4 linked regions of the Alligator mississippiensis genome follow. The protein of the gene in region 1 interacts with the protein of each later gene in a biochemical or structural test. Links are inferred from orthologs where the notes say so. Each region holds a gene or a part of one and is shown on either strand. Other genes may lie near its edges. The genes, in order: NEDD4, UBE2E1, GABARAPL1 and PMEPA1.

What was found.
Region 2: the proteins of NEDD4 (region 1) and UBE2E1 form a complex in vitro, tested with the Homo sapiens proteins (7 studies listed by BioGRID, with this or other methods). The link is inferred for Alligator mississippiensis from reciprocal best matches to the Homo sapiens genes NEDD4 and UBE2E1.
Region 3: the proteins of NEDD4 (region 1) and GABARAPL1 form a complex in vitro, tested with the Homo sapiens proteins (2 studies listed by BioGRID and IntAct). The link is inferred for Alligator mississippiensis from reciprocal best matches to the Homo sapiens genes NEDD4 and GABARAPL1.
Region 4: the proteins of NEDD4 (region 1) and PMEPA1 form a complex in vitro, tested with the Homo sapiens proteins (2 studies listed by BioGRID, with this or other methods). The link is inferred for Alligator mississippiensis from reciprocal best matches to the Homo sapiens genes NEDD4 and PMEPA1.

The regions. Positions count from the first base shown.
Region 1 is NC_081834.1:25,833,952-25,841,879, forward strand, and holds the start of NEDD4 (E3 ubiquitin-protein ligase NEDD4), read right to left. Parts: upstream 3,015-7,928; 5' UTR 2,958-3,014; coding exon 1,407-2,957; intron 1-1,406. UniProt on the Homo sapiens protein: E3 ubiquitin-protein ligase which accepts ubiquitin from an E2 ubiquitin-conjugating enzyme in the form of a thioester and then directly transfers the ubiquitin to targeted substrates. Specifically ubiquitinates 'Lys-63' in target proteins.
Region 2 is NC_081828.1:148,073,135-148,080,010, reverse strand, and holds the start of UBE2E1 (ubiquitin-conjugating enzyme E2 E1), read left to right. Parts: upstream 1-3,854; 5' UTR 3,855-3,939; intron 3,940-4,204; 5' UTR 4,205-4,269; intron 4,270-5,095; exon of another isoform or gene 5,096-5,254; intron 5,255-5,328; 5' UTR 5,329-5,356; coding exon 5,357-5,508; intron 5,509-6,876. UniProt on the Homo sapiens protein: Accepts ubiquitin from the E1 complex and catalyzes its covalent attachment to other proteins. Catalyzes the covalent attachment of ISG15 to other proteins. Mediates the selective degradation of short-lived and abnormal proteins.
Region 3 is NC_081827.1:146,477,968-146,485,826, reverse strand, and holds the start of GABARAPL1 (gamma-aminobutyric acid receptor-associated protein-like 1), read left to right. Parts: upstream 1-4,849; 5' UTR 4,850-5,053; coding exon 5,054-5,143; intron 5,144-7,859. UniProt on the Homo sapiens protein: Ubiquitin-like modifier that increases cell-surface expression of kappa-type opioid receptor through facilitating anterograde intracellular trafficking of the receptor. Involved in formation of autophagosomal vacuoles.
Region 4 is NC_081832.1:9,061,419-9,068,378, reverse strand, and holds the start of PMEPA1 (protein TMEPAI), read right to left. Parts: upstream 3,022-6,960; 5' UTR 2,858-3,021; coding exon 2,752-2,857; intron 1-2,751. UniProt on the Homo sapiens protein: Functions as a negative regulator of TGF-beta signaling and thereby probably plays a role in cell proliferation, differentiation, apoptosis, motility, extracellular matrix production and immunosuppression.

The sequences.
Region 1 (7,928 bases):
ATGGTCAAACTACAAAAGAGTAGGTACATTAAGGAATATTTGAAAACAAAATATTTAAAATAGCAGTGCTGGCATGAACATTCCCTGTCTCCCCAAAGATATTCCAAAACAATACACACACAGATTCTGTTCCATTGTATTTTGATGATGCAATTTAAACAAATATCTATATATCTATATAAAAAGTGTACACTTAATGTAAACGTAAAGTGAACACACATATGTATACATATACATAAAGTGTTCACTTTACGCTTACTAACTTTAATAAGAAGTACAAAAAGGACTCTTGATATTGGCACTAACTAAGCAATAATTTCCTTGAAAACAGTGAAATAAACAAGGTCCACAAGACTGTATTGCCTGGAAATTCTATTTTGACTCTCCAGATTAGCACTATTGGTAAATCACTGGCAGCTCCCTTCACTTACATCAACAAGGTAGCAAAAATAATTAAAACTAGCGTTTATTTATAACTTCAGGTCATGCGTTTTTGCAAGAGGTGTCAAATTATTGCATTTTTTTGCCAGCATAGGCTTACAACTAAGCACACTGTACAGTTTGAAGATTTGTAAGATGAGTGACGTAAAAGAGCAGATGATACTCTCTCCACCCACCTCTGGATTTCTTGTGGCGTAACCTGCCTGTGTGTGAAAGCTACATCATGAATTAATTAAAATGAACAAATTTCTGAAGTTTAAACACATTTTATTACCAAATAATATTTTTAAATATAAAGACTACCAAAGCCAAGTACCATAATGTGGACAGCAATGTTGTTGGAAAAGATATTAAGTTAAAGTGCACAGCTAAAGCTGAACTAGTGGTTGGAGAAAAAAAGGGGAGGAAACTCTTAAAATTCCTGTGGTTCAGGGTGTAACAGAAACAAATGGTATTTACAGTTCCTCTGTTCAAATATTACTTATCTTTAATTCTACAGACAGCAAGCTGTTTCTGCAAAATAAAGTTTATATGAAACAAATTTGAAGGACTCCACAGTACTCTAGTTAATTCTTAACCATTTTAGGTCCAGATATTTCAGTAAAATTATTTCTATATATTAAACATATACATTTAAAGCTTAAAATAAGATCTGAGCTAACCCTAGGAGAACTTTAAGACCTAATTACCAGATGGAAAGAAAAACCAAGTAAATAGGAAATGAGTTAGGATTTAAAAGTTGAAGCATGTCACCATAAGAATTTTCACCAAAAGTGCCAGACACTAGGAAAGATCAACTGAAAGTTAGGTTAAAAATACACTATTGCAAACTGTTTCAAGAATATAAACATTCATAAAAGGCTTGTGTTCATGCTGTGAGGGAAAAAGAAAGCTTAACAATTTACTAATTACAATTCCCCTGGAAAAGATTCCTGTCAGTTTTTCATTAATCTAAAACTACTCACCTTGAGGGGCTTCCACAAAGTCCTGTTACACATTTCCCTTTTGGAAATTCCATTTCTTTTTTTAAAGCCATTAGTTTTTCCTTCATTCCCAGGTCGAAACTGTATGTGCAAGTGAGATGCCCCTGCCTTAGGACACTTGTATTTAAGGCTAGATAAATAGCAAGAAACTTTCTGGCAAGAACCTTCTAAGGACATGCTTCTTTGCAGAAAATGGTGGGTTTTGTTCATTTGAATATTAGGTCTTTTTAGTTCGTTTTCATTAATCCGATATTCTGAATGGCTTTTTGAGGGTAAACACGCAGATGTGCTATGTGTCAGTTTTAAATGAGGGCACTCTGCACTAGAGTTCAGATTTGATTCTGGACTGCCACAACTATTAACCATTTCATCCCTTGATGTAGATACTTTTTGAGTAAGGTGAACTGAAATACAAGAGAAGCCATCAGATGTTTCTTCACAAGTTGCCTGCTCAGAACTATCTGTGGCTTGACTTTTGGCCTGTAATGAAGTATTCAAGTAAAGTGGTCTAATCTCTCTAACCTCACCAGGAGAAAAAGCAGATTTAGAGAGTCGAAGTCCATTGACTGCTGTTGAAAGAAACTCCTTATTACCAGTTTGATTTTCATGTTGTGCTAGGTCACTTGGAGAAATAACTAGTTTATGTGAGGTCTGATATGCCACACTCTGTGGTGGAGGACCTGAGCTTGTTGGAGACATTGGTGGAGTACTGGAAGGGCTTCGAGGGAAAATTACCAATGATGAACAACGTCTTAGTGGAACTTTAGTTTTCCTCCTTGCTGACAATTTCATTTGCTCCAAACCATCTTGGTCAAAAATAGTATTACTTCGACACAAACATTCCTGAGATGCATCTTTCCTATAGGAATTATATTTGTTTGTAGTTCTTCTATACGAAGAGTTATCATACACAATGCTATTATAAAAAATACCATCACCTGTGGAAAGAGCGCAACTACTATTGTCACTAAGGACACTGTTGCAGTGTGAACCTCCATCACTTGTGGTACTTGTGCATGATCCATAGTCACTGCCAGCACTACTGAAGGATCCATTGTCACTGGCTGCAATACTGCCAAGACTGCCATTCAACATGGTAGTGCTGCTCAAGTGGCTGGTAGTATTTATCATGTTAGATGGATAATCAGCAATATTTCTCCCAGAACAGTTTCCTTCATTGCCGACACCAGTGAATGATGAATCCTCATTAGTAGCCACTGTATCACCAGACTGAAGACATCCACTGTACTTTCTAGACTGCAGGGAAATCTGAAGTGAAGTGCTCTTTTTGTTGTTTTTTTGCAGCGAAGAACCACTTGCGCTTTGCTGTTGATTAATTATTTCTTGCATTACAGGTGGAAAGACTGCTTGCCTGGGAGTCAGTTTCATTTCTATGACATTAGATGCAGAATTCTGTGAAGATCTTTTGAAATGCATATAAATATTATTATCCAAGTCATCTTCAGAGGTTTCTGACAGTGGATCGGTGTTGCTTCTTCGGGCTGCAAAATGCAATCTTAACCTTCGTGCCATCTGTACTCATTTCTACACATGTTAGCAAATGAAAACCATAAAGCTCCTTCTGCAGAATAACTTAAGGCAACTTCATAGAATCTAGATCCAGTTCAAGTACATCACAAAAGTAAAAGCCCATTAAGGTTGCAGACTTCGTACGAAATTCTACAAGATACTAACTATTATACAAAAATTACCTCCTGGAATAAATCATCCATTCCCTGAAATGCAGTTTCTGGACTGTCTGATTGCTTGTAGTCAGAGAGCATACACACAAAGCACTTGAGTTCCAACGACCTTTAAACTGAACTCAGCTGCCGCATTCTGACAAATACTGCCAAGCGTATTGCAATTATACCTTCTGTAAGTTGCATAAATGAATACAACTCAAGAATAATCTCCTAATGCTTCAAGTTTAAAACAGCAACTCCTGCTGCAGCTACACTAGCTGAGTCAATTTGTCCGTACTTTCCCTCAGCAGCGTATGACTACTAATATTTTTACCCAGAGGTTTAGAATTACAGGAAGTTGGTAGGAATGAAGTCCCATATAACAGAGTACCAAATCTAGCATTGAATTTCCAAATAGTAGCCATGCTAAAAAACTTGTGAAAGTTTGAATATTGGCATATGCCGATAAAACTAACCAATTTTGTATTAATAAAAGGTTAAAAAAACAGAAGTTATTTCAGGAATCTTAAAGTTACTCAGTAATCATACATAACATTGATTGTCAATTAGGTGAGCCCTCTACCGTTTTAGTTAGCTTTTTGTTTTAAGCAAGATGCAGAAGAGTTAAAATTAAGTATAAAACTGTCCACTTTATAATTTACCATTCAAGGTTCCAAATGTTTTTCTGAAATGTGTACATCCAACCCCTTTCCAAGTCAAAGCTGTGCTTTGTTAGCATTATCATCCACTTTTCCTAATCCATACATTTCAAACTGAAATATCCGGTTTGTTGGCCAGCAATTCCTGATCGGCACTAGCTTCTTTGGATATTTAAAAAAGGTTAGATAGCCAGGTTATTTAGTGGCATGTCGACTCCTGAAGTTTGTTTGTAGCTATTCATCCAGAAGCAGACATAAATCTGAATTTCACAATGTATTTTTTCCCTCCCAATTGCAGTACAAGTGTGCAATCCAATAGGTACAACCGACAGGAAAGAGATGGCTTCCAAGCTACACTATAACAATTATTGTATGCAGACTTTTAAGTTATATTCACAGTTAGCTCATGTAAAAGTGATTGTTTTATATAACAATTCATCTGTAACCAAGCAAAAACATATTGGCAGTATTTTCCAAAAATGTAAAACTGAACTAACTTGGACAATTTCTGAGTGTTTCAGTTTATCATGTAGACCAAAAAGGCCCTTTGCTGGCACCTGGTGGAGGTTTTTAAAATTGACACTCTTACTGTTACTACGAGCGTCTGAGGTAAACGTCCGTTCATGAAAGTACTTCTGAATACAGAAGCCATGCATCATGCAGTGCTAAACCCTACCATGCTAACATGGGATTATTTACTGCTGTTGATAAAGTCCAAACAGTAGAGAACACTAGACCATTTATATATATATTTTAATAGGTCATACTGATGGCTTTTTTTCTTACTCAATATTTACTTAACCATTACAGTATTTTCAGTCTGCATGCAATAAAATTAAATTTTACCTTCTCCCAACACAAGAAACCAGTAATTAAGTGTCTGTAGTACATTATTCAAATGAAACAAGTTTATCTTTTAATAATACTCCTGGGCTCATTTAACCCTTTCATTATCCAAAGTTGACAGATGCAACAATACATACATGCTAGCTAATTCATAAAAAAGGCAACAAAATACAATAGTTCAGCTATTTTTCAGGTATCACTAACCAGAATTCTTCAAACTGAACATTAAGAGGAGGAAAAGAGGTCAAAGACCCCCAAAAGCTTTTTTTTGTTCACAGCTTTAGAAAGCTATGTTTAGTTTTCAAGCAATTTATTTTCCTCAAGTCTCAAGATTTGAAGGAAAGCAGGAAGATTTCATTTTTTACAGAAGCAAAAGTGGTTCTATAAGCACCTTAACGTTTATTAATTTTAATTCAAAGAAAAACAGCATTTTAAATACCTACCAGAGCGCAACCGTTTTCGAAACAAGATCTGAGGGATGGTACTAGGCTCAACATTTCCCCCTCCCCTTCTCCATGCCTATACAATTTTAAATATTTTTTCCCCTATACTTATGGTAAAATGGGAGAAGAAGTAAGCTGACAGTAGTTTCACCAACTAGGGTGTCAAATTTAAGCCAAATGTCATGACGTCCTTTAGTCAACTTAGCTATTTAAAAAAGGACCTCCATTATGGCCTAGTTGACCAAAATTATATGGCTCTTGATGCAGAATTCTGGCCTGCTGAAGTCAATAGGAAATGCTAAAGATCAGTCTTTCAAATATCATATTCAGGAATGTTTGCAACACTTATAATACTGGTCAGTGCTACTTTATTTGTCATGATGGGAACAGCTATGGGCACCAAAATGGCCCCACAGTATGCCAACCTTTTTATGAGCCACCTAGAAGAAGACTTGCTCAAGAACTGCACCATCAAACCCTTGCCATACTTAAGATATAATCGATGACATCTTCATCATGTGGACTGAAAACTTATGATCTCTGAGTTCCATCAGAAATTCAACAATCACCATCCCTCCATCCAACTTTCTCTAGAATGCTCCAGCACCAACGTCTCCTTTTTAGACACGATGATCAGTATCCAGAATGATAAAATACAGACCACGTTATACAAGAAACCCACAGACCAACGTACATATCTGAACAGAACCAGCAATCACCCTAAACACACCAAAAAAGCTGTGATATACAGCCAAGCCCTCAGATACCACCAAATTTGCACTGAAGAGAACACCCGGGATTTCCACCTCACCAATCTTAAAAAGGCTTTCACCCAACAAGGACACTCCTCCAGAGAGAGAGATCGCACGTTTGAAAGAGCCACCCAGATACCACGTAAAGAACTGCTGCAGTACAAAAGAAAAACCCCCACAAATCGCACACCGCTGGTTATGACATATCACCCCTCCCTTGAACCTGTACGGAAAATCCTCAAACAATTGCAACCCATACTAGAAAGAGACCCTATTCTTAAAAAGATCTTCCCAGAGCCACCCATCCTAGCCTTCAAACAAGCACCGAACCTCGCTAACCTCATCACCGGAAGCAAACTTCCTCAAGCCCAGAACACACCAAAAGGATCCAAACCGTGCCATGACAAGAAATGCAAAACCTGCCAACACATCTCTACCACCCCCACAATTACTACACCCCACAACAGAGCCATCACCATTCCTGCATCTTACAGCTGCACCTCCAGAAATGGAATATACCTCATCCAATGCACCAAATGCCATGATGGAAAATACGTAGGAGAGACCAAACAATAACTGCGCACCAGAATGAACGCACGCTGGAAATCTACCAAAGACAGAAATACCTAATTACCTGTGGGGGCACATTTCTCACAAGAAAACCACTCTCTCCCCAATCTCTCAGTCCTGATCCTCAAAGGAAACTTACACAACACTTCCCAGAGATGAGCCTATGAACTCAACTTCATCAACCTCCTGGATACTAAAAATCATGGACTAAATATAGACATTGGATTTATGACACATTATCATCTGCCTGACATCTGACTTCCCAGGTATCTCTCCACTTTTATCCCCCTTCTCTCTCTTCCCCTGCCCCTCCCCAGCCCATCTCTCACCAATTGACTCCTCAATCTACATTTTCACTGACTACCTGTCTTGCATGCATACCAGCCCAGCTGCTGGCTTCTTTACTTTTCATTCCATCCAGGAAGAACACACACCAACTGCTGAAACTTCCTTAGCCTGACAAAGGGTTTTTGAACCTGAAAGCCTGCCTAATAATTGTTTTCCAACTATTTAAGTTGGTCTAATAAAAGATATCAGATTCACCCAAAGAACCTTGTCTGACTTTATTTGTCATATAGTTGTGTATACCATGTCTCCAACACTAAACTGCTCTATAAGTAAGTAGTAGTCATTTATACCAACCAGTATTCAGATTAAGGAGAGTTGCTTTAATAAACTTTCATTTTCTCACATGCCTGGTTTAGAGCTCATCTACCATATTTATTCAAATCCAAGATAAGGTTATTTTCCCCATTAAACAGAGAAAAGAGCCCCAAGCCTTTGATTTGGGTGCAAGTGTTGGGGAGGGAAGGGGCAAGATAATTAGCTACCCAGATCTTCCCACCATCAAATGACACAACCACGGCTGGGAAGGGTTGTAGGTACACATGTAAAGATGGTGCATTTGATGCTGAATTGTTTGCTGAATTTGCTGTAATCAGATGAAATAGTCAGGACTTCATCAAACATTACTGTGAGGAAAATTTAAAAAACCCTGCTTGACTTGGCAGCAGCAGGGAACTCACTGGAGATGGACAGAAAAGCCATGAGGGATCCGGGGAAGACGATAGGGGAGATGTGATTTTCCAGCAGCTGCTCAGTCCCGATTGGAACATGCCACAGCTGCTCGGAGCTTCTGACCATGCTCCCGAGCCGGAGCCAGAACCCGCACTGGGGCACGACCTAGAGGCCAGGGGAGAGAGATGAAGGCACATCGGAAATGGGCATGAAGAGGAGTGAGCAGGAAGCTTCGGAAAACACAGCCCCAGGAAAGACATAGCTGGAGAGACAAGGGCCACTCTGGAGAAAGAGGAGCCAGCTGCTGGCCGGCAGTCAGGCTCTGAACCGTAACAGTAACCCAGGGACACTGGCTGCCGACCCGCAGCAAAAAGGAGCAGTGGAAGTCAGCCAAAAAAGGAACTTCACCGCAAAGGAGACGGTCACAGGGTGAAAAAGGCTCTGTAAGGTCCTGTGGTTTTTTTCCTTTGTATGGATGGGAGGAGGGAGAGCCTGGTAAACTGCTGGAGAGACAGACCCCACTCCTGAGCAT
Region 2 (6,876 bases), on another chromosome or scaffold:
AGCAGCAGGGAGTCATTCTAAGAAAGTATCTAGTGACACGATCCAAAGGGACTTTGATTAATCCCAATCATCTTCCTTTTGCAGAAGATCTAGCGTGAATTTGAACTGGCCAGATTCCTATGTGCATTCAGATCAATGGCCCCAAGGAAATGAGATTATTGTAATGTATTGTTGCAGTCTTCTCCAAGCTTGATGCTGAGAGAAAAAATGTCTACTACTATCCAGTTACTGCCTTTAGACAACTCCATGTGGCTAAGAAATGTGGGGCAAAATGAGAGTGAATAATTTGAGCTATCTTTCCTCCATTATTTTTTGGCCCTGATCAAAAAAAAAAGGAGAAGAAAGAACAGCAAATAAAGGGAAAAGAGACTAAAAGAAAAAGGATTGTAGGGAGAACAGTACAAAATGGAGCAAAACGTATTACAGAAACCAAAAGGAGAGGGGGAACAGCAATAACTGTTTAAGTGGAGGAGCTGTCTGATTTCTGGAGATCATACTGTCACTGTTGCTGGAGTGGTTCCCCAAATTATTCATAGGAATTTTGGCTGAAAAACCAGTCATACCTGTTTGGTGGATGAAGGATAAAGTATTTTTCCAGTACCAGTTCTGTGATCTCCAGACCAGGACTGCGAAGGCAGACAAAAAGGTAGGCTTCTAGAGCTGCAGGGATTTCACTCAGTGGATCAGCACCTTTGCTTCTTCTTTTCTCCCTGTTTCTCCTGTTTCACTTCCTCGTGTATTGCTAGAGAATCTGGCACGCCTGGTTGTGGAGAACTGTAAGAACTATGAACTGCCTCTGTTCACACCTAGAGGCAACCATTGGTGAGATAAAATGAAAATTCCTACTGCTGTAGTTACTGCAGTCATGGCAACACTGAGTGCACTCAGAGAGGACTGAAAACACATTTTTGGGTGGGTAACAAAACCTTCCCTCCTCCAAAATGTGACCAGCTTTCTCAATGATTACTGTGAATGGGACTGGGCTGGCATTGTGATAATTTCCATAGAGATGATTCTTCAGAATACACCTCTGACTTCTTAACTAATCAATTTTACGTGTGTGTGTGTATGTGTGTGTTTGTGTGTGTGTTGGGGGAAGGATCTCCAAGCCTTCTGCTGTAGAAGTGGAGCCCTTTCAGTTAGTTTAATTTCACTTTGGTTCTTGTCGTTAAAGGCTAATTAAGCAGGGAAAGGGACTCAAACCTTACTTTTTTCCAGTGAAAGTGAAGATTCTCTTTTAAAAATAGAAGTATTTGTTCTGTTAAAAAGTGGCTCAGAAAGGACTTATCTCCAAATCCACCAAGGACAAAATATGGAACACAACAAATGACAAAGACTCAAAGTGAAGGGCACCAAAAAAAAAATACAGGAAATTAAAGGCTATGGGCTTTATTGTCTTAGTATAAATGACTCTTTCTGTAATCTTGGGTTCATAATTCATTAATTCTGATGTAAAATTTACAACCATAAAAGTGAACAGATTCCAAGCCTGTCTAGCACACAGGTGACTTTGGGATTGACATGAGTGACATTCTGTGGAGGGGCACATTTGAATCGGTAGTGCTCAGTTTTTGCATGTGGCCCCAGCCACATAACATGAATTGGTTGCAAATTCCACATGGAAGGGGAAGTCTGTATCAACGCCGGCCTTACCTTCATTGGCTAAGGAAGGTCCTTAAGGCTGCCAGCAAAGATTAGCCAAAGAATTACCATACTTGATGCAGCCTTTATCAGTTTACCATTGTGGTCACTAGCAAGTCCTTATTAAAAGAACTGCCCATGAGGAGCTAGTTTACCTCCTGTACCGTTTCCATGTCAACTCCAGCCCCTAACGATCCATGAATCATAACATGATAACTATAAAAAGTCTTTTAAAAAAGGCAAAAGGAGTTTCACCTTTTCTTTATTTGGGAGCCTCAAAGAGGCAGAATTCTTGCAAAAGTAACCATAGGTCCTAGACTCAGGGCTAAGTGAATAAAGCAGTTAGAAAAGGGAACTGAGGGGAGGAAGCACATATAATAGAATGGAGAAGCAGGCCCATCTGCCTGTGGTACAGGGTACCCCAGGGTAGGTCCAGACAAGGAACTTAACACCAGATACTTAACTCCCCACATTCAAGTAAATTACACCAGGATAGAGTGGTATACACTAGAGTAACGGCTAATTATACAGGTGTAACTGTCTCATGTGCCCAGCCTGAAGTTTGTGAGTCATGGGAACGTTTGGATTACCCTATGGCAGTGGTGCTCAAACTTTTTGCTGCATGGACCGGGTGGCCAATGCCTAGTCAGTTCGTGTGCTGGATCTGGCTGGTGGACCCAATCCAAAGCACAGGAAAGGTAGAGGGGGACACAGTGGGGCCAAATTAGGTCATGCAGTAGTGAGATCCAGCATTTGGGGAGTGGGTGGAAGTAGGCCCAGCCCTCATCAGGAGGGAAGGAGGCATGGCCTGGCCTCAATCCAGCAGCATGGGGTTTGGGATTCTGGCAGCGGGGGCAGGGTAGCAGCATTAATTGCCACTGCTCCTCCACTGCCATGGTTCCCAACCTGTGGGGAGTCCTGTGGGCCAGATGTGAAGGCTCCATGGGCTGCATTTGGGAGAAAGGCTGAACACCCCTGTCCTTTGGCATTGAAGGGACCACCCCTCAAGGGAGACATTACTACATGTACTGAGCTAGCACATTACCTGAGACTGAACTTTCCTGGGAAAGTCAAAGCTCCATCCAAGTTCAAGTTCCATTTTGGAATGAACCATAGACCTAGGCACAGAGAAAATACATCTTTGGTTCCAGTTCTTCACCCTATACGTCTTCAGCTTTTGGTATGGACGTTCCAGAGCTCAATCCCCACCAACAGCAAGACCTGTTTCCCCTTTGTGTGCAGCCATGCTTTATTCTGCAAAGCCATGCCATTAGAACGTGAGACTAGGAGCCTGTTTTGCAGAAGTGTATTGCTCCTTGCCTCCAGGTAAAGGCAGGAAAAGCTGCACTCCTGAAAGCCCTTGAGGGATTGGAGAGCTGGTCTCTTGTTTTAGCATTGTCTTCTCATTCCTTGTGTGGCCTTAGATAGGTAATGAAACATATATTAAGTTGGTGGTAGTAGCCATACTCACAGTATTTGGCTGGAGCAATTCCTATCTATCTATCTATCTATCTATCTATCTATCTATCTATGGATAGACAGATGTTTTCTAGATAGGAATTGCTCCAACCACACATTCCAGCCAAGTACTAAAAGTATGGGATAGATAGATAGATAGATAGATAGATAGATAGATAGATAGATAGATCAGAGAAATGCAAAATCATCCCAGTAATGATGATGATGATGGGCAGTGGTGGCAAGACTCAGGCTTTTCCCTGCTTGCCACTGGAGATGCCCCATGGTTTCCTAGGGGCTCTCGATCTCCTGTAGAAACCAGGGCCACTGAGCCAAATTCACCCCCCCAATGAAGTCAAGAGGGATGAAGCGGGTCTGGAAAACTAAGGCAAGCTGCCTGGACTGTGCTGCCTTCTTCTCAGGTGCGAGGGCTGGCGGGTCATGTTCTTCCTCTCTCTCCAGAGTCACAGCGGCTGCCAAAGGGGGGGGTATTTTTTTTTCCCCCGGGGGAAAGAAGTGCAAAAGAAGACGACAGAGGACCAGGCAAGTTGCAGCCGATCTTCTCCCGCGCCCCCCGGGGCTGCCCCCTTCCTCGTGTCCCGCCGCGGACGAGCCCCGCGGTCGCAGCAGGCGCGGATGACGTCACGCGCGGCCCCTTCTTTTGTGCGCTCGTGATGTCACCGGGCGCGGAGGTGCGGACAATGGAGCCTGGGGCCCGGGCGGCGGCGGTGGGGGCCCCCCGAGGCTGCTGACGCTGTCCGAGGAGGGGACCTGCCGCGGAGCCAGGTGCGCTCCGGCGCCCCGCGGAGACAGGGGAGAAGTTGCTGCTGCTGCAAGCAGGTGAGGGGAGGGGAGCGAGTGGCATCAGCCTTGCAGCACCCCCCTGCCCCCCCGTCTCCATCCCCGGGGGCTGCGGGTCCCCCCGCCCGCGCCGTGCACAGGGGGCGACCCCCGCGTGTCCGTGTCCGGGCCCGGCCCCCCCGGGATCGCGGCGCGGCGCGGCGCGAGGGTGTGCGGTGCGGTGCGGTGCGGGGCGGGGGGGGCAGGCGGGGAAGCCATTGCCTGTTTAATAGTTGCTGTTGCAGCACTTCCGCTTCTCTCCCAGCGAGAGAGACACGAGTGGCCAGGCCCAGCCGCACCGAGGAGGAGCAGCCAGACACAAAGGGAGAGGTAGGGGCACGGGCCCCCCCCGCTGCCCGCCGCCCCGGCCCCCGCGCGGGAAGGGGCCGGGCCGGGGGCTCCGCGCCGCGGGCAGGGGCAGGGGCAGCGCCCGGGGCTGTCAGGTGTCGCCCCGCGCCCCCCGGCCCGGCCGAGGGATGGGCAGGGGGCCGGGGTGGCTGCGATCCAGCGCCCCCCATGCCTCCCCGGCCCCCTGCCCATCCGAGGGGGCTAACCTAGACCCCCGCCCGGCCCCCAGCACCCCGCTGGCTTTCTACAGGCCCCGGCTTCCCCCCGCTCCGGCATGCATCCCCCTGCAGGCCCAGAGCCGGCTCCCCCTCACACGCAGCCCCCCCCCCCCCCCCCCCCCTTGCAGGCTCCGAGTGGGCTGCCTCTTCCCCCCCACCACTCCTCTTTCACCATCTCTTGCAGGCACCCACTCTCCTCCTCCACCCCCTGCACATAGTAATCCTCTTTCCCCCCCACCCCAGACACTTTTTCTGGCATTGATTTTCCCCCCCCCCTCCCCTTCTGGGCCACTGGGGCGCCCCCTCACGCACACAGCTAAGCTGTTCATGGCCCCGTGCTGGAGGCAGGGGCTCTTGCCCTGGAAGCCTGTGACACCCCAGTCCCATTGTAGCCAGCTGCTGCTGCTGCTGAGCTTCCTTCCATTTCCCCCCACGTGCCTTTCAGCGCAGAAAGGGGACTGGAGACATCCCATTTACATCAGGGCTGGGCAGTAGTGGGTGGTGATGACTGGTCTCCTGTGTGTAGTTTGGGGGAGATTAGAAAGAATTACTGAGAGCTTCCCTAATCTTTGCTGTCGTCTTTTTCCTAGCCCCTCTCCTCTCACTGGGAGGAGGCGTTAAAGTCCATCCCCTCCCCCAGTATATTGCTGGTGCACTCAGACCGCTGCTGTGTGAGGTTCCTGTCTGCGGAGCCCCTGGGGAGGGGGAGAGAGGAGGACCCTTTAAAGAGAGCACAACCCAAACACAGAGTGAGATTGTCCGTTTCCTTTCTCTGTGTGTGTTCATTGTCTGTTCCCCACGCCCCATGGTGTTTCCTCTCCAGGTTTGGGGTGTGTGGTGGGGGGGTCGCTATGTCGGATGACGATTCGAGGGCCAGCACCAGCTCCTCCTCATCTTCATCCTCCAACCAACAGACAGAGAAAGAGACAAACACGCCTAAGAAGAAGGAAAGTAAAGTCAGCATGAGTAAAAACTCCAAACTCCTCTCCACCAGCGCCAAGAGGTGAGACTGTTAGCAACAAAACACCGCTTCACTGCTGTCTCTTTGCTTGTCCAACTCTTCTCTTTGCCTCCCTTCTATTGAGCATTAATCACTCCTATTCATTATGACTGGAAATTATACTTTCAACCTCCCTCACTATCTCCACGGAGCAAAGAGCACCTACACACTATTAATGCTTCTGTTAGCCTCTCCTCCTCCCAAGCATTACCACAGTCTATATTCCTTCTCAGCAACATCCTTCTTCTCCATAGTTATTCCTCTTCTCATCCCCTTTCTTCATCATAAGTATAGAGAGCCAGAATTGCATACAAGTGTAATTCTTGGGGGTTTTTTTTGAACTCTGTGGCCTTAAGCAGGCTGTTTAACTTCTTCATCAGTTTGCCCATCAGTAAAATGGGGATGACGGTTGATTTTATAAAGCATTTTGAGCTCTCCTATTGAAAGGGCTCTTACAAGGTCACCCCATCAAAACGTTACTTTCCTGTCTCCACGTCACTTGCATTCAGTTCTTGTCTATGTTGGGAAATTGACCCAAAAAACTCTTCCACTACTTAAGCCAACACTTTAGTCTGAAATAATTATTCTGCTCATAGGCGACTGGTAGGCGGTTCATGGGGGTCTGACACCAACGCTGTTGGCAGAGCTGGTGCCCCCTCTGACAGGGCCACCACCACTGGTGGCTTCTGTGGGTGCCCCCCTGATTCAGGAGGCACCAGTCACTCATGATTCTGCAGACAAAACATAGTATTTTTTCCAGAATATTGTTCCCAGAAGGGAGTCATACCAGAATAGTTAAATTTATTCTAGAACAGTGAGCCTAGAATTGCTGTGCTGGTCATTTTTTCCCAGTAGTCAGACCCTTAAAGCTAACTCACTTCTACAACATTACTGCTACCCTCTCTGCTCTGCTTCTCATCTTACCTGAATTTGCCACCACCATGCTCCCAAAAGCATGAAGAATGGAGTTTCCAAGTAAACTTCCATTACTTCTTCCACAAACAGAATATTCCGTCTAGTTAATGGCTTTGCCATGCAGCAGCAAAAAACTTCCCAGCTGTAGATGTCAACAGCGTCTGGATTTTTGTCGATTTTTCTATGCTTTCTCAGCTGATGCCGGTCTGTCACAGCCCAGACTTTTGTGGTGTTTAGGCAGTTGGTTAGGCAGAACTCAACAGAGCACATTTACTTAGCAGTCACCTAGCCAGTGGCAACGAAGTTTCTTGTAAAGCCTGCTGATTGTAAATTGCCTAATATAAATAGGCTGTGGTTCTCATAACATGTGACAAATGGAAGAAAAGGCAAATGAGAAGGAAGGGAGGCTGGCTGTATGGAGGGGGTAGATATGGAAGTGAGGTCTGAATGGCAGTA
Region 3 (7,859 bases), on another chromosome or scaffold:
AGAAACTTCTTCAACCTTGTAGTGTTTTTTTCCTGTTACATGAAAAACAACCTTGCTTTGTATTGTTGCAGGAAGAAAGGGAGAATCCCACTGGGAGCTTGGTTTGGGGAGAAAAATCCCTAACTTTTCAACAACAATTATTTTATTGTGTTGTTGAACAATTCTTATTGTTGTTTAGTTACAGAGAACTAGCAAGGTTTGCATGCTTGGCACAACCCTGCCAGAGTGAGGGGGAGGGTTTGGGAGGGGAAAGAGGTATCAAGTGCAGGGAGAGGTGGGGAGTCTTACCTGTCCCAGGGACTCAAAGTCCCTAGTGGCTGCTACTGCTGCTATACCAGCAGCACTGTGTCCTTGCACCCTGCTGCTAAAACAGTGCCAGGGAGCTACTGCTGTCACCACAGCAGGGACTCCACAGGGAGTCTACCATTCTGGTGTCCCCTCAGAGTCAGTGCCTGGGGCTGGAGCCCTGCCTACTCGCACCTTGTTATGCTACTGGTAGAGAGGTACAAACAGTACACTAAGGTTCATTGTGCTATGCACTATGCAAAAAACAACAAGGAGCCTGCCTCTGCCTCAAAGTCTTTACAGTCTGATTTGAGCAGACACAGAAACTGACTGTGACAAAGAAAAGGAGAGCTGGAGGAGGGAAACCAGACTAATGAAAACAAAACCACATGGCTTAGCAGTTGCATAACTAATATCCATCAGTTAGAACAGAAATGGAGTGAAAGTTTGCATCAGGAAGAAATGTCACACTTCCCTCCCTCACAAACATGTAAAGAATCAGTCGAGGAGGTACATAAAATATGACAGCTCTGTCAGTTTGCGAAGTCTTGGGGAATGGAAACTGTCTTCATCCAGAAACCAGGTGGTCGTGGGTGGAAGGTGCCTGGTGGGCCTGAAACCTGCTGAGGATTCCATCTTTATTGCCAGTTGTGAGTGCGGTTTGCTAGGTGCAGCAATGGGGGATGCACATGGTACTAACAAAAAAATCTGTTTAAACATCCTGTGTAATTTTAGCTAGAAGGGAGACAAACTGATTGGCCATATGGCTTTGCCTTCACTGCAGAGCTAACTTGAGCCCTTATTCAGCTGCTGTCCCTAACACACCTCTTGTACACACACACACACACACACACACACACACACACACTCCCTCCCTGCTGGTGTCTGATGGTGCTCTCAAGCCAGGCTGTCTGGCCCAGTGGAGATGTGGGTCAGCGCCTGGGTGGTCTTTCACTCACACCGATAGCCAGCCTGCTACCCATGAGGATGCAGGTGAAGCCACCTGAGTGCTGATAATCTTTCAGTGCCTTCTCACAATTTCCCCCATGCACTCAGAAAGACAAAATTCCCTGGCAAAGAGTCAGAGAGGGGGCCAGGTTATCACAACACCAACATATAGATGACATACCTCCAGAGGTCCTAGTAATCCACACAAGGAGCATTACAGTAACTTGGTGGAGCTTTGCCATATGGCTGCTCACTCCAAAGCAAGGCTTCAAGCAGGGTGCTCAGAAAATGATTAGGATTAACTTTGCAGTGGAAGCATAGCTTAGAGAGGCAGCTAATATTCCCAGTGGCTCATTCCTCCCTCCCATCTCCTGCTTCCTTTCCCTCAGGTGCTTAATTCTCAGCCATTTCTGCAAGCACAGTATCAATAGTAATTTAATCACCAGGCACAACAGGAGGCAGGAAATCGAACCAGGCAGGGTAGGTGATGAGTTACTGATAAATTCACAAAGGGTTCCTATTAAAATGTCACTTCTTTGGCATGTGACAGATGCTTCACCTCAGGGGTACATGTGCTGCAGTGAGGAACAGGAAAGACCTGGTGAATCAAGACATGTATCCTCCCACATAAACAAACTAGGCATTTCATAATGCAGGAGGGACATAGCACCAGCTAGCAAGGTGACATTGAACTGCACTTTGCTAAGTGATTGAAGATATATTCCAAGTTCAGCTCATGGACTTCAAAGGGAAAAGGGAGCATGTAAAGGATCTAGCAGTAGTCTGCACTGGGGAAGTTTTTTAAGTGCCTGACTTTTGGTACAAACTGGACATGACAAAGGATATGCAGTGTGTTCTTCATTTTTAATAAACCTCAGGGATAAATTAACTGTGGTTTAGCAGCATCTCTCCCATTTACTCTACCTGTATCCATGAGGCAGTGAAGACACCATGTGGGTGCTGTATCTGGGGCACACAGGAACATCATGTCTGGAGTGGGGTACCTGCAGTGCCCCAGGCATCCTCGCCACCTTGCTTTTGGAGTTGGCATGCATGGGATAGGAACAAATGGGCAGGGCTCACTGCTTTAGTATTATGACCAAGCCCCCTGCCACAGGGAAATATGAGCATGGGTCTTTGGGTTCTCTTTGTGGCTATACCATGAAGTTAGAGTTCAGCTGGGGAAAAGGCACAATCATCCATCGATGCCACAACATCCTCCGACACCCAGCAATTTATATTACCACTGATCTCACTTACACATAAAAAAAAATAAAGCTGTGCAAATCAACCTTGAAAAAGAGACCCACTGGTCTGTGGCAAGAAATGTAATGAGCAAGTTGATAACATTTTGATAGGAAAGATCCTTAGACTTCTCATTATCATCAGAGCAACAGGCAAACAAGTAAGGCTGGTGCACATGCTGCAAGACTGACAGTCACTGATCTGAACTGGCTAGTCCATTCACTCACTTTTTCAATGGGGAACAGCTAAGGAACCAGCCCAGATTCCTGGAATGTCTCTGCTGTTTGTACCTACTGAGTGACTCAGATGAATAATGGCTAGCCCATGTCTTGCTCAGAAGCTGCTCACTTCAAAGATTTCCTTTATGCAATTGGTCACCTCAATAATATGAAGTAGCTTCCGTGCCCTAATGGGATAACCTGAATTGTTGACGTGGGAATAATCCGTAACAAATAATGAATGAGGAACACTGGCTAGTAATCCCTCCTACTTGAGCCAGCAGGTTCATCCATAGATCTCAAGGTACTTAAAAACAAACAAACCAACCAACCAACCAACCTTCCCAAAAATTTAGTATCATCATCTCCAGTTTACAGAGAGGGAAGCTGAGGCCAGGGCAGTGATGTCATCAGCCTAAACAAGTCACACACACAGCTAGGAACAGATCATAGAATCGTAAAAAATTTGGGTTGGAAGGGACCTCAGGAGGTCATCTGGTCCAACCACTGCTCAAAACAGTAGATCATCCTAGCCAAGGCCTTATGTAGCCAGGTCCCAAAAACCTCCAACAACAGACAGTCCACAACCTGTAGAGCATGGTAGATCCTCTGTCAAAGCTAGAGTTCAGTACCTCATCTGCTAAGCAATAATGCCTCTTTCCTCACTCATTCTCAGACTAATTACAGCTCTCCCTAAAGCATAAAAAGCCTTCCTGATTGGCAGAGTCCCAGAAGAAACAGGGGCACCTATCCAGGCAGAGATGCATTCGGGGGCAGATTAAGATTCATTAAGGGCTTGTGCTCAGGGTCCCACCTTATCTGTGCTCTGCCCCACAGCTGCAGGCTCTGTCCCTGGCCTTCACAGCAGGAGCAGTGGGCTGAGCAGGACAGCTGCCCCCCAGGCTTGGAGCAGGAGCCACAGCCACCCCTGCCCACAGGTCTGTGCTGGCAGGAGGTATATGGATCCACTGCTCGCTGAGCACGTGCAGCACCAAACAAGCTCCAGCGGCAGCCCCTTGCACCACCGCAGCTCAGTCCAACTGCAGCAGTGCCCAGCAAGTGGCACCCAGTAGCCACAAGTGTTTCATCGGCACCGAGGCAGGGATCCCTGGGTCCGGGCACAGCTGGCCTGTACATTAATCCACCTATGGATGCATTAAAGCCCCCAGGAAGACTCACGGGCTCATAAAGGGCCATTATGCTTGGGAAAAGATTTCCCAGTGCTTGCTTCCTTTTGCCTGGCTATGCAACCGGCTGCCCTAACGGGCAGAGGCCACAGCCAACTCCCATGCTGGCACCAGGCTTCTGGTCTAGAGATCCACCACGGGGTGCGGGGGCACAGCTGGCAAGGGGAAAATCCCTCTTTCCCAGCAGCTCAGCTCAAGCCCCTGGGAGTGATTTGCTCTCCTCTTCCCCGGGAAGTTGCTGCTGGAAAAGGCTGCAGGTGCGTGACTCACACTGCGATCACAAGGTTTAGAGGGAGGGGGCACAGCCCCCGCCAGCGCAGGGGCAGGGATGGGGAGGGGAAAAAGCTACCCTATTACAGTGTGCTAAGCCCAAGGACACGCGCCTCCGGGCTCCGCCTGCGGATCCCGCCGACTCACGCCGGGCTCGGGCCTCTGGCTGCAACAACAAGGCGGGAGAGGAAGGGAAGGGAAGGTGGGGAGAGCAGAGGCATTGCCCCCCCAGCTGCGAGGCACCCAGGGACCGGGGCCAGCAGGAAATCTGGCTGCTGAACAAGGGCAGGAAACAGCTCTGCCACCAGCCGAGCTCTACAATGCCGCTACGCTACGCAGCGCAGCGCAGCGCCGTCCCGCGCAGGAGGAGAGCGTAGCTTGCTGTAGGAGTGCTTTGTAGCAGTGGAGTGTGGACCAATCCATTCCAACACAGCGAGGGAGGGCGACTTCATCCCCAAAGCATTATGGCACGGGACAAGGGGTCACGCTTGCAAGGACGGAGCACAGTCCCGGCTTCTACATGCAAATTTGCATACCAATACATAGCTATAGGCAGCGGCGCCGTTCCTCTGGCGCTGCCACATCCTTCATACCCATAGCTCCCCCCCCCTCAGTAATGGAAGTGCCCAGAACGGCGGAGGGAGGGGGGGGTGGCTTCCTGTGACGTCACAATGCCCCGCTCATTGGCCTGGCTGTTTGTGTATCCCGCGATCAGCTGGCGTTCGGGGCGGGGGTGGTTGCGGCTACTGTGCCAGCGCGAGAGCTCCGGGGCCTGGGGTATCTGGGGGCGCTTTGGTGACACAGCAAACAGGTTCAGCTGGGGGAAGGGCAGGAAGGGAGGGAGGAAAAGCCACAGAAAGAAGGAACCCAGCCAGGTCCAGCCAAAGCCAGAGGAGCGAGATGAAGTTCCAGTACAAAGAAGATCATCCTTTCGAGTACAGGAAAAAGGAGGGCGAGAAGATCCGAAAGAAGTATCCGGACCGAGTCCCCGTAAGTGCCCCCACGGCCCGGTGTCTCTGATGGCAGCAGCCGTGGTCGTGCTGTGGCAGGGTGCTGAGCTTTGTTTTACCCAGGGGATTATAGATTTGAGAGAGAGAGAGAGTGTGTGTGTGTGTGTGTATATATGTGTGTGTGTTGGGAAGGGGTAAGGATAGGACTGCAGGCTCTGCTTGCTATTTTTGTGTTGATCTGTTTTTAAATCTTCCTTTCTGTGTACTGAACCGCTTTTCTAGACCTGGATCCTAGTCATGTTACTTAGACATCTAGATCCAGGTCTATAGGGTTATATCCAGATGGAGATTTGTAGGCTTTGATGGGTTTGTACTGGTGATAGGGGGAAGCTGCCCCTCCTCCCCTCCCCCATCAGCCGCAGCACTGTGGTAGGGTAAATGCTGCTAATCTTTTTTTATGGCAGTCTGTGTGCATGGGGTTGGGGGTGGGGAAGGAACCAACCATTTGCTCTACAAAAATGGAGGAAAGCATTGGAAAGTGGAATAAGGGGAATCCTTCGCAGAAAACTACACAATGTCATTTGGGTGTCTTCCCTTTATTTCTAAATAGTGTGCTCTCTTCCAGCCCCTCTTTTCAACTCAGTCTTGCTTCCTTCTTGCCCTTGGCTCTGAGAAATAATTGAAGCAACCCCACAATTGTTTGCCCTCCTCTGTAGTCTCCTTGTGGAAAAAGCCATTGCATAGAAAACAAGGTCATGGTCTCCCCACCACACTGCGCTTCCTCATCCTTACATCCCTTTGGAGAGCTTCTATCATTCTAATTATTAATAATAATTAAGAAATGGAAATGGTGAGCAGAACTCATTAGTAATCTTTGGCCCTTTTCATTAGATGTTTTCAAAACGTTCTTTCTTTTCATCCCCACTGGAGGCCTCTGTCCTAGATTTACCATTCAGGGTACAGCTTTCTAAAACAATCTGCTCTCCCCCATGGATCCAATGGGGGGAGATGGAGCATTGAATCATACATTATTTGCAGCATTTCAGCACCCTTTTATGAGAAGTCTTCTGGTTGCACTTGCACAAGTAGGAGCACAGGTGCATGGGCAGAGCTGTGTGCGGGCCACAAGGCTGGAGCAGCAGGTGCAGTATTGTTGCTAGTCAGGAGTGAGGTGATGGCTTCCATGTCTTTGGACCAAAATTGCAGGGGGCACTAAGTCAGGAGCTGTGAAGGAGCGTGAGCACTAGAATAGCAGGCTGTGCTGAAGATCATGATGGATGTGTCTGAGAGCACCTTGTGCAGCACTAAAGACCAGAATAGCGAGAGGTGAGGAAGGAGGTCAAGGCTCAGGGACACCAACAGAGTTGTGCGGAGGATCCAGGTCTAAAATAGCAACATGTGCCACAGCTTGAGACGAAGGAGAAAAGCCATGTGGGGAGGCCTATGTCTGGAGTAACAGGAAAAGGTTCCTTTGGCTGTGATGGAAATAACTTCCTGCAAATCACTGACACAGTCATAGAAAATAACCAGAAATGGCAGACAGGGCTCCCTGCATCATCCCTATGTCTACCCTTCCTGACAGCTGAATCCCTGGTGATGACGTCCCTTCAGCTGCTTACACTGCAGTGCCCTGGTGCATCTCAGCATTTTAGCAGAGATTAGACTGTTGGCACAGTCCCACATTACAGCAGATACCGCCCAGCAGTAGCTAGATCCAGAGATGACCTGTATTTACCCTTTGATATTTCTGCCCCTCCCCTTTGTCCAGATGTCTGTCTCTGTGTTTCTACAGTCAGGTTTTCAAACCTTTGGGATCAGAACCAGTGCAGAGAGTGAAAGGAGAGGAGATAAGGTTGCATAAATGGTTTGTGAATGGTGTGGGATTATTTGGGGAAGGTGGTAGGTCTTGAGAATGGATACCTGAGCCATGTCCAGACAAGTGTGGCCGTACAGTATATGGCAGTACAGACCACCCATCTGCAATGTCACGCACCTTGCATTCAGGTGTTTTCTCTTGTGCTGGCTTGCAGTGCAGGGGGTGGGGGGTTTGGACCCTGAAGATCCAGGGGTCAAAAAACCTGTGCAGAAATAAAGCAGAGCAGTGCACACGGGGACAGCGTGTGCTCCCCAAAACTGGAGCCTGGCCAGCCGGAGCCATGATCCGGCTGCCGGCCAGGCTTCAAACTGGAGGATCATCACAGCTGCAATTTCCTTGGCCCCCAGGACTCCAGGTGCTGGCCCCAGAAGCCTTACAATTGCTGGCCCCAGCCTCCCTTACCCCACCTGGGGTAACCTGCCACACATCAGAGGGCGTATGACACAGGCATTCTTTGGGGACAACTAGCAGTGGCACAAGGTGTCCTGCTGATAGCTGTGCCCAGGGAATGAAATGTCCATGCTTGTCTGAACATGGTCCTGGTGGTATATCATCCAGAAGAACTGGCTTCAATGGATATCTAGCCAGCCAAATCTCCACATCTTCTTACCTCCGTGCAAGTTGAAATCTCTCAACCTCTGAATTGCACCACTTTCTGGGGCTTGGTCACCCCCATATTATTCCTTACTTACCCTGAGGCCTACACTCCTCTCTCCCCAAAAGTCATCTTTAGATTCACCCTCCTATGTCAAGTTCATTAGTTCACTGTTGTTTTTACAAGTTTCTCCTCTTCTTTAGTCTGGAAAATCTTAGGGAAGAAGTCATTCACTCCAATGTTCTTTCCCACTTCCTCCCAGATGGCACAGTTCCATGTAGTAAT
Region 4 (6,960 bases), on another chromosome or scaffold:
CAACTGCTTCATTTGTTTAAATACTCGTTTGTCACCTGAAATAAGAAATGCACAGAAATATTTTAGATGAACTTCACAGTTAACCCAATTAGAGGGTTAAATTAAAAGAAAGCAGTTTGCACCTATGCTACTATCTTGCATCAGTCCTGTGCTAGATTCATACCTGCAAAATTAAACGGAATCTCGTTTTACCTGTTCTCAGACCCCATCCAAATAATTTTTCAAAACTGAGTCATGCTGCCCCCCGCCATCTACTTTAAACTAATGAATCTAATGGACTCTCAACTCTGTCCTTTCTGTTAAATCAAAGTAAAAAGAAGCATTTGTGTAGCCAGCCCCACTGCAATATAACCACTCTTGCTTCGTAGGAAATAACAACTAATTTCAGCAAAGGAAGCTACTGCCAAATACACTGACGTAAGATAGTGGTAAAAGTTTTGAAGGCCTACTCCAAAGCCTAAGCCAAAAGAAAACTTACCCACTTTGGGTCAGGACCATGATGTTAACTAGCTGATTGTGTGGTGCAGAGATTTGATAGAGCAGACTAAAGAGAATAGGGTCTCGTGGAGTAGGTTCTAGCTTTTTTAAAGGAAGAGATCCTCCAATAGGTAAGTTTTTTCTTGGTTACACATACGCACACCCCAAAATCAGCACCTATTACTAAGCCTTTCAGACACTGCAGGAAATCTAGAAATGGATAGTATTTCTAAGAAGTCAAGCAATTAAATTAAAAGATCAGACTGTTCCAATAAGAAACCTGTGCCAAGGATCAGATTGGAAGAAGAAAGACTGTTTCTTCAAAAGACAGAGTGGATGCTAATTCTTCAAAAATATTCCACTTTGATATTATCACAGTTCTGATCAGACCTAAACTAAAAAAAAAGTTTCTCAGGTTTATGTCATGGGATAACAGACTCGTTTACATTCACTCCCTGACTGGCATAAAAAAAAAGAAATCTGTATCTTTTAATTTGTAGAGCTCTATTGGTATTCCTATCTAGCATGGCCTGTTAAAGTCAAGAAAGAATAATGGTCTATTCAGTACTGGTAGTGTTAATAAAATCAGGCAAATCCAGCTTAGCTTTGTCTGAACACGAATGAGATTAAATCAGGATTAAAAGTGCATACAGTACAAAGGCTATGGTTTATTTTACAATTCAGGTTGAACACGTTTTAGTACCCATTCTATGAATGCCTATAGATTTTTTCCAAAATCCATATATAACCAAATCAACCCAAAATATGGCTGGCATAGTTGATGGCACAGGATTCAAGGCTTTGACTATCCGAAATGCTAAAGACCAGAGTTGCCCTAAAACACAGCTCTGCAGCCTCAAACAACAGACCCAATCCTAAGGTGTCAATGGGAATCGGTGGCATTAAATAGGGTTCAACTGACTTTCACATGCTTACATCAGGAATGAATTTGCCCTATTGGGGTGTTAACAACAGCAGGATTATGCCCAAGTCTCCACTTTGCGCCAAACGCACTAGCACACAGAGGTTACGACTGCGCTGCGTGGTACTGGATGTCGACCCAAGTAGAAATGAGCCCTCTGGCTGCAGAAAAGCCACACAGGCTGAGACGCTTTGAAAATAATCAGGCCCAGGCAATGCATTTTTAAAAATAGCCGGGGAAGCCAAATGACTTCCCTTAAAAAGAAAACTCCGTTTCCATTTCTAGGTAGTTTGTTAGGGTGATCCAACACAGAAGTACAGGCTATTTGGGTCAGACAATGCTCTCACTGATTTTCCACGTTTGCAGTTTAAAATATCATTTTTAAAAAAATGTAACGAGTTTTCAAAATATTTGCTCCACTTTTGCCTCCAGCCCTCCAATAATTGAAGGCGTATCATTGAAATGGAGCGGTTAATTAAGATACCTAAAAGCAAGGCTCAAAGTGTTAACAGCGCTAACCTTATGGGTCAAAATCTCCTGAGCATCACTTCAGCCGAAGTGAGAAACGTAGTCTATTTGGAAGAGCAGACAGTTAGAGCAGACAACTAAATTAACAAGACTGCCTCGGTGTCAGCCAAAACATCATTACGGCTGATTAGCTGAGGGGAAGGGACGATATAAAAAAAAAAGATGAATTGGAAAAGGAAATTTTACATATGCTGAAAAGGAAACGTTACATACACTGAAGGGAACAAGAGGGGCGAGGATAACCCTCGTGATATAAACCCCTCACAACTCTGCACGGGGTCGGGCAAAAGCGATTTCTGAGCCCGGCGGGTCCCTCGCCCGCGGACGCAGCGCGGTCGTCCCTGCTCATGCCAGGATGCTCCGGCACAAAGATGCTGAATCCCAAGCAGCAACAGATTAAAGATCAGGATGTGCACAGACCGGACAAGCCGCTTAACAGCGACGGCTTTCTTCGCCCCTCGCGGCAGTCTGGCAGGCGGGGAGCGACCGGCTACAACTTTACTGCGATGTGGGGCGCACGGAGAGCCCCACTCGCCTGCTCGCCGGCCACGCGTGACTTTTGGATCTCGCACAAAACTTTCCTCCAAAAGACACCCGCGGCCGCCGGCGACTCCGGCTGCGAACCGGTGCCTCCAGGTGCGGGTTAGGGAGGAGGAGGAAGGGGGGTGTCTAGTGCCCCAAATCTCCTTGCTCCGGCCCTTGAGGAGAGGCTGTGGCAGGGCCCCTGCCACTAGCTGAGCCCCCCGTGCTCGGCCAGGGCTATTTATAGCCGCCCCCCTCACACTCACACTTACACACGCACTCGCACCCCCGGCCCCACTCACTGATCTCCATGCTCTGGAACAAAGAGCGCTTGCAGTTGCACGTGCAGGACACATTGGGCTGCAGGGCGATGCCGGCGGTGCCGTTCAGCCCCATGAAGTTATACATGGGCGAGGAGGCGGCGGCGAGGCGAGGCGGCGGGGCCCGGGCCGCCCCGCATGCAGGCAGCACGGGCCGGGCGGCAGGAGCCGAGCGGGCCAGGAGCGGGCAGGCAGCCCCCTGCGCCCGCGTGCAGCGCGCTGGAGCCGCCGCCGCCGCCAGCCCGGGCACTGCCCGCTGCCTCCGCGCCCGCCTCCGCCGCCGCCGCCACCGCTCTGCGCGTCTCGCGCGGCCCCAGCAAGATCCCGGCCCCGCCCCTCCCCTCCCGCCCGCCGGGGGGAGTCGGTGTCGCTGGGGGGAGCAGACAGACGCGCTGACGTCAGCGCTAGACTGGGACTGCCCTCGCCACAGCCCCGCCGGGCGGGGGGTAGGGGTGAGTGACAGCTGCACGGGCCAATCACAGCGCGCTCTGCCCTCGCCCGCCCCGGGGGGACGCGTTGTCTCTTAAAGGCGCCGCGCACCTGGGAGGGGTGGGGGGAGGAATGGGTTGCGCGCCCCCTCCTCCGGGAAGCACGGGCCTCGGGAGTGAGTGCGTCTCAGCGGTTCACAATCTCCCTTAGGCGTGCCCCCCCCAGCAACACACACATACACACACACACTCTCTACCAGGAGCATGCAGACACCCCCAGCAACCCTCCTCCTTTACACTCACACACATGCACACTCTCAGGAGCACACCCCCCCAGTAACGCTCCTTCTTTACACACACGCACACTCTCGGGAGCACACACCCCAGCAATCCCCCTCCTTCACACACACACACACACACACACACACACACACACACACACACACACTCCCCTCCAGGAGCATGCACACCCCCCCCAGCAACCCTCCTCCTTTATATACACACACACACATGCACCCCCCCCCAGCAACCCCCCCTACTTCAAGCATGCACACACACACACACACACACACCACCCAGGAGCATGCAAACCCCCCTCAGCAGCCCCCCCACCCCCACTGGAGCACACCCCCCTCCTTCAGGCAGGCAGGCATGTGACCACACTCCCCCCCCATGCATGCAAGCCCCCCCAGCAGCAGCCCCCCTCCTTCAGGCATGTGTGTGCGCACACACACACACACACACACCTCTCCCTGCATAGGGGGAGATGAGAGGGGCTCTGTGGGGGGGCGGGTACGATTAGGGCCGGTGCTCAAGGGCAGGGGACCAGGAGCTGGTTGGGAACCAGCAGCAGCTCATCCGGTGGGAAGGTGTGGCAGGACTTGCCCCCGGAGAGCCCTTCCCAGGCTCTGCGCTGTGCTCCCGCCCCAGCCACCTGTGCAGACCCCCCTCACCCCAACCCCAGTGAGGCCCTTCCACAGCCAGGGGATCGCAGTCATGTCCCCGTCCTTGTGGCTTCTCCTGGGGGCAGGGGTCTCCCTGCACGTTGCCCCCAATAATCCACCCCCTTCAGAAAGCCAAACTCCCTCTACTGCCCAAGCCGAGGGGCTCAGACAAGCCACCGTCTGCTCTAGGACAGTTTTCTTTGCAAGGATCTGCTGACCCCGTAGCCTGGCTGCATAACAGCATGGCTTGCTTTTCCCCACTGCCACGGCTCCTCTCCACTGCAGCACAACTCAGGCCTCTCGGCGCCTGCACAACCGGGCCATAAACAGCCTGGCGTTCGCTGTGAAGGCTGCGTGGTGCCAGAGGACCCTGCTCCGGTTCCTTTCCTAATGTGTAAATGCACCTTGTAGTGCATCCAACCTCCCTCTTTAGTGCTGGGAATGAAATACCTTTCCCCATGAGGACCTCTCCCCACGCTGCACGCAGCAGGCTGATGGCTTTGTTCGAGTGTCATTGCCCAAACTCTCCTTTCTTGGTTCTTGGTTAATATCACCAAACTCTGTCTTGTGAAGAGAAAATCGTTTCAGACTTCAAACCTGTAAAAAAAATAATAATTTTTTTTCTTTTTTTTAAGGCCCCACTGCATACCAATCTCCCACTTGAGAGATGCCTTGAGAAAAAATGCAGCCACAGCTTAATTTGTTGTTTAATTAGCCCCATGTACAGAAGCAAGTCTGGCACGTCAGAGAAGTTGTGTTAGAACCTTGCAATGTGCCAAACTACGTTATGATATGGCTGGGTCTTGCATGCTCATGCAAGATTAAAACATCTTTGACTAGATTGTGCAAAGCCACGCTGCCAGCCAGCAACCACCAATTTGGAAGCCCTTCGAATTTGGGATGCCCAGCCCGTGCACGTCAAGGAGTTCATTGCGGGCTCAGCGCCTTTGAAAATCGGACCAAAAACGGGTCTGTTCAGACACTTCAAAACTGATGCATGCCAGATCAGTGGCCGTGTTTAAACCTGTTGTCCTTAACTCATTCAGGGTTTTAACACAGTGCTATAACATGGTTTGGTCCCTTCTTCAGAGAAAAACTCACTGGTTGATAGCATGGTTAGGACACTACAGTATAATGAGCTCCTTCTGGCTTTGTAGATTTACTCCTATGGACAGTTGTACACGAGGGGCTGGAACGCAGAGGTGTGGAAAATAAAAGCTTCCTTGAAGTCAGTGGGGGCTTTGCTGTTACCCCCGCAGAAGGATCAGGCTCTGAATGAATTACAAATCTCAATCTTGCCCACGGTCTGCAGTGCAAGCCATGACTCTGTAACACTTACAAGGTTGACAGAAATGGCGAGCAGTGTTGAGTCTGTCAAGCATTATGGTGCCTTTCCCAATCCTTCTGAATGGGAGCTGCTGCGACATCAGAAATTCTGTTTCTCTCTCCAAATGCACCAGAAAAACCTTTTAGGGCTTGATTGCCCTGATTGCTAAGCAGATTTTGCTTTTTCAGCTGAACTAGCATTTGTTTTGCGTGCACAAAATTCAAAAAATATTCCAGAAAGATAAACTTCTATTTTTATTTAATTTGAAGATGACCAATCCCATTTCCTTTTTAGGCAGCTATAAAGGAAAAAAAATCTTCACTCCCTCACTGAGTGCTTATGTGCCAGGTTTTATTCAGGAGTGATTTTTTTTTTTCTGCTGAGAAATAAACCTGTGAAAATAGGGGTTTATAATGAAAATGCTGAAACAAGCTTAACTATAGTGGTGCGAAGAAGCTGCTATAATACTTGGTGAATCCTGTTACTGGGAGATAAAGACAGCTTCAGTTATCTTCTAAGAAAGCATATTTTCCCATAATTCTTGATAGCTATGATTTAGTATTTGGAAGTCGTTAAAGGGTCTTCAGTTGGGCCAACACTCCCTAGAGATGCTACCATGAATATAGTGCTAAATAAGGATAAAAGCTATGAACAGCATATGTAAAACCAAAATCTCCTGCAAAGTCATAGAAATCATGGAGGGTGGAGAGTGTCTCCAAGTCAAGCCTAGTATTATTTATTGGAAAGTCTGAAATTTTATTTCCTCCCACAGAAAATGGGATTTTTAAAAACTTGATTATTTATAAAAATGATTTTAAATGAGTCTGCATACTTCTCAGAGGCTGCTTTAGCACCATCAACCCCTAAGGAAAATGCCTAGCGAAAAGGATCATGTTATCAAAAGGTTAGTTAATCTTTATACTGTGTCATCCACTAAAAGTTACCTCCAACAATTACTAATTCAGTGTGAAGAGCGGGGGATATACTGCATCTTGTAGAGCAAAGCAGCTTTAAGAGGTTACATTGTGGTTTCTAACAAGTGTGGGTCTAAATGGATATGAATTATTATAGAACCAGAGATGGCCAAGGAAAGTTATCTGCCAGCTGACTTGACCTTCCCTTCCATAGTGAAAGACGTATTTGAATTCATGGAAAATAATATTGAACACAAAACTGTAAGGAGATAGCGCCTGCAGTTAATATCTATTGCTGGGAGTCTGTAAGGCAGAGGTGTTTTATTTCTCGTTTTAATGCAGATTTCCTGTATGACTTCACAAATCAGGGAGCCCAAATTTTTCACACTTTGGTGGTGACCTAAATTAGGCACCTGAGTGTGCTAGTAAGTCTCAAAATTAGAGGTACTGAGCACCCACAACTGCGGCTGAAGTCAGCGGAAGCTGATGAAGATAAGCATCGCTGAAAATCACACTGTTTTAGGTGTCTAAATATGGTTGCAAGTGCTTGAATTGAAACAGCCTACCTGGAAATAAAA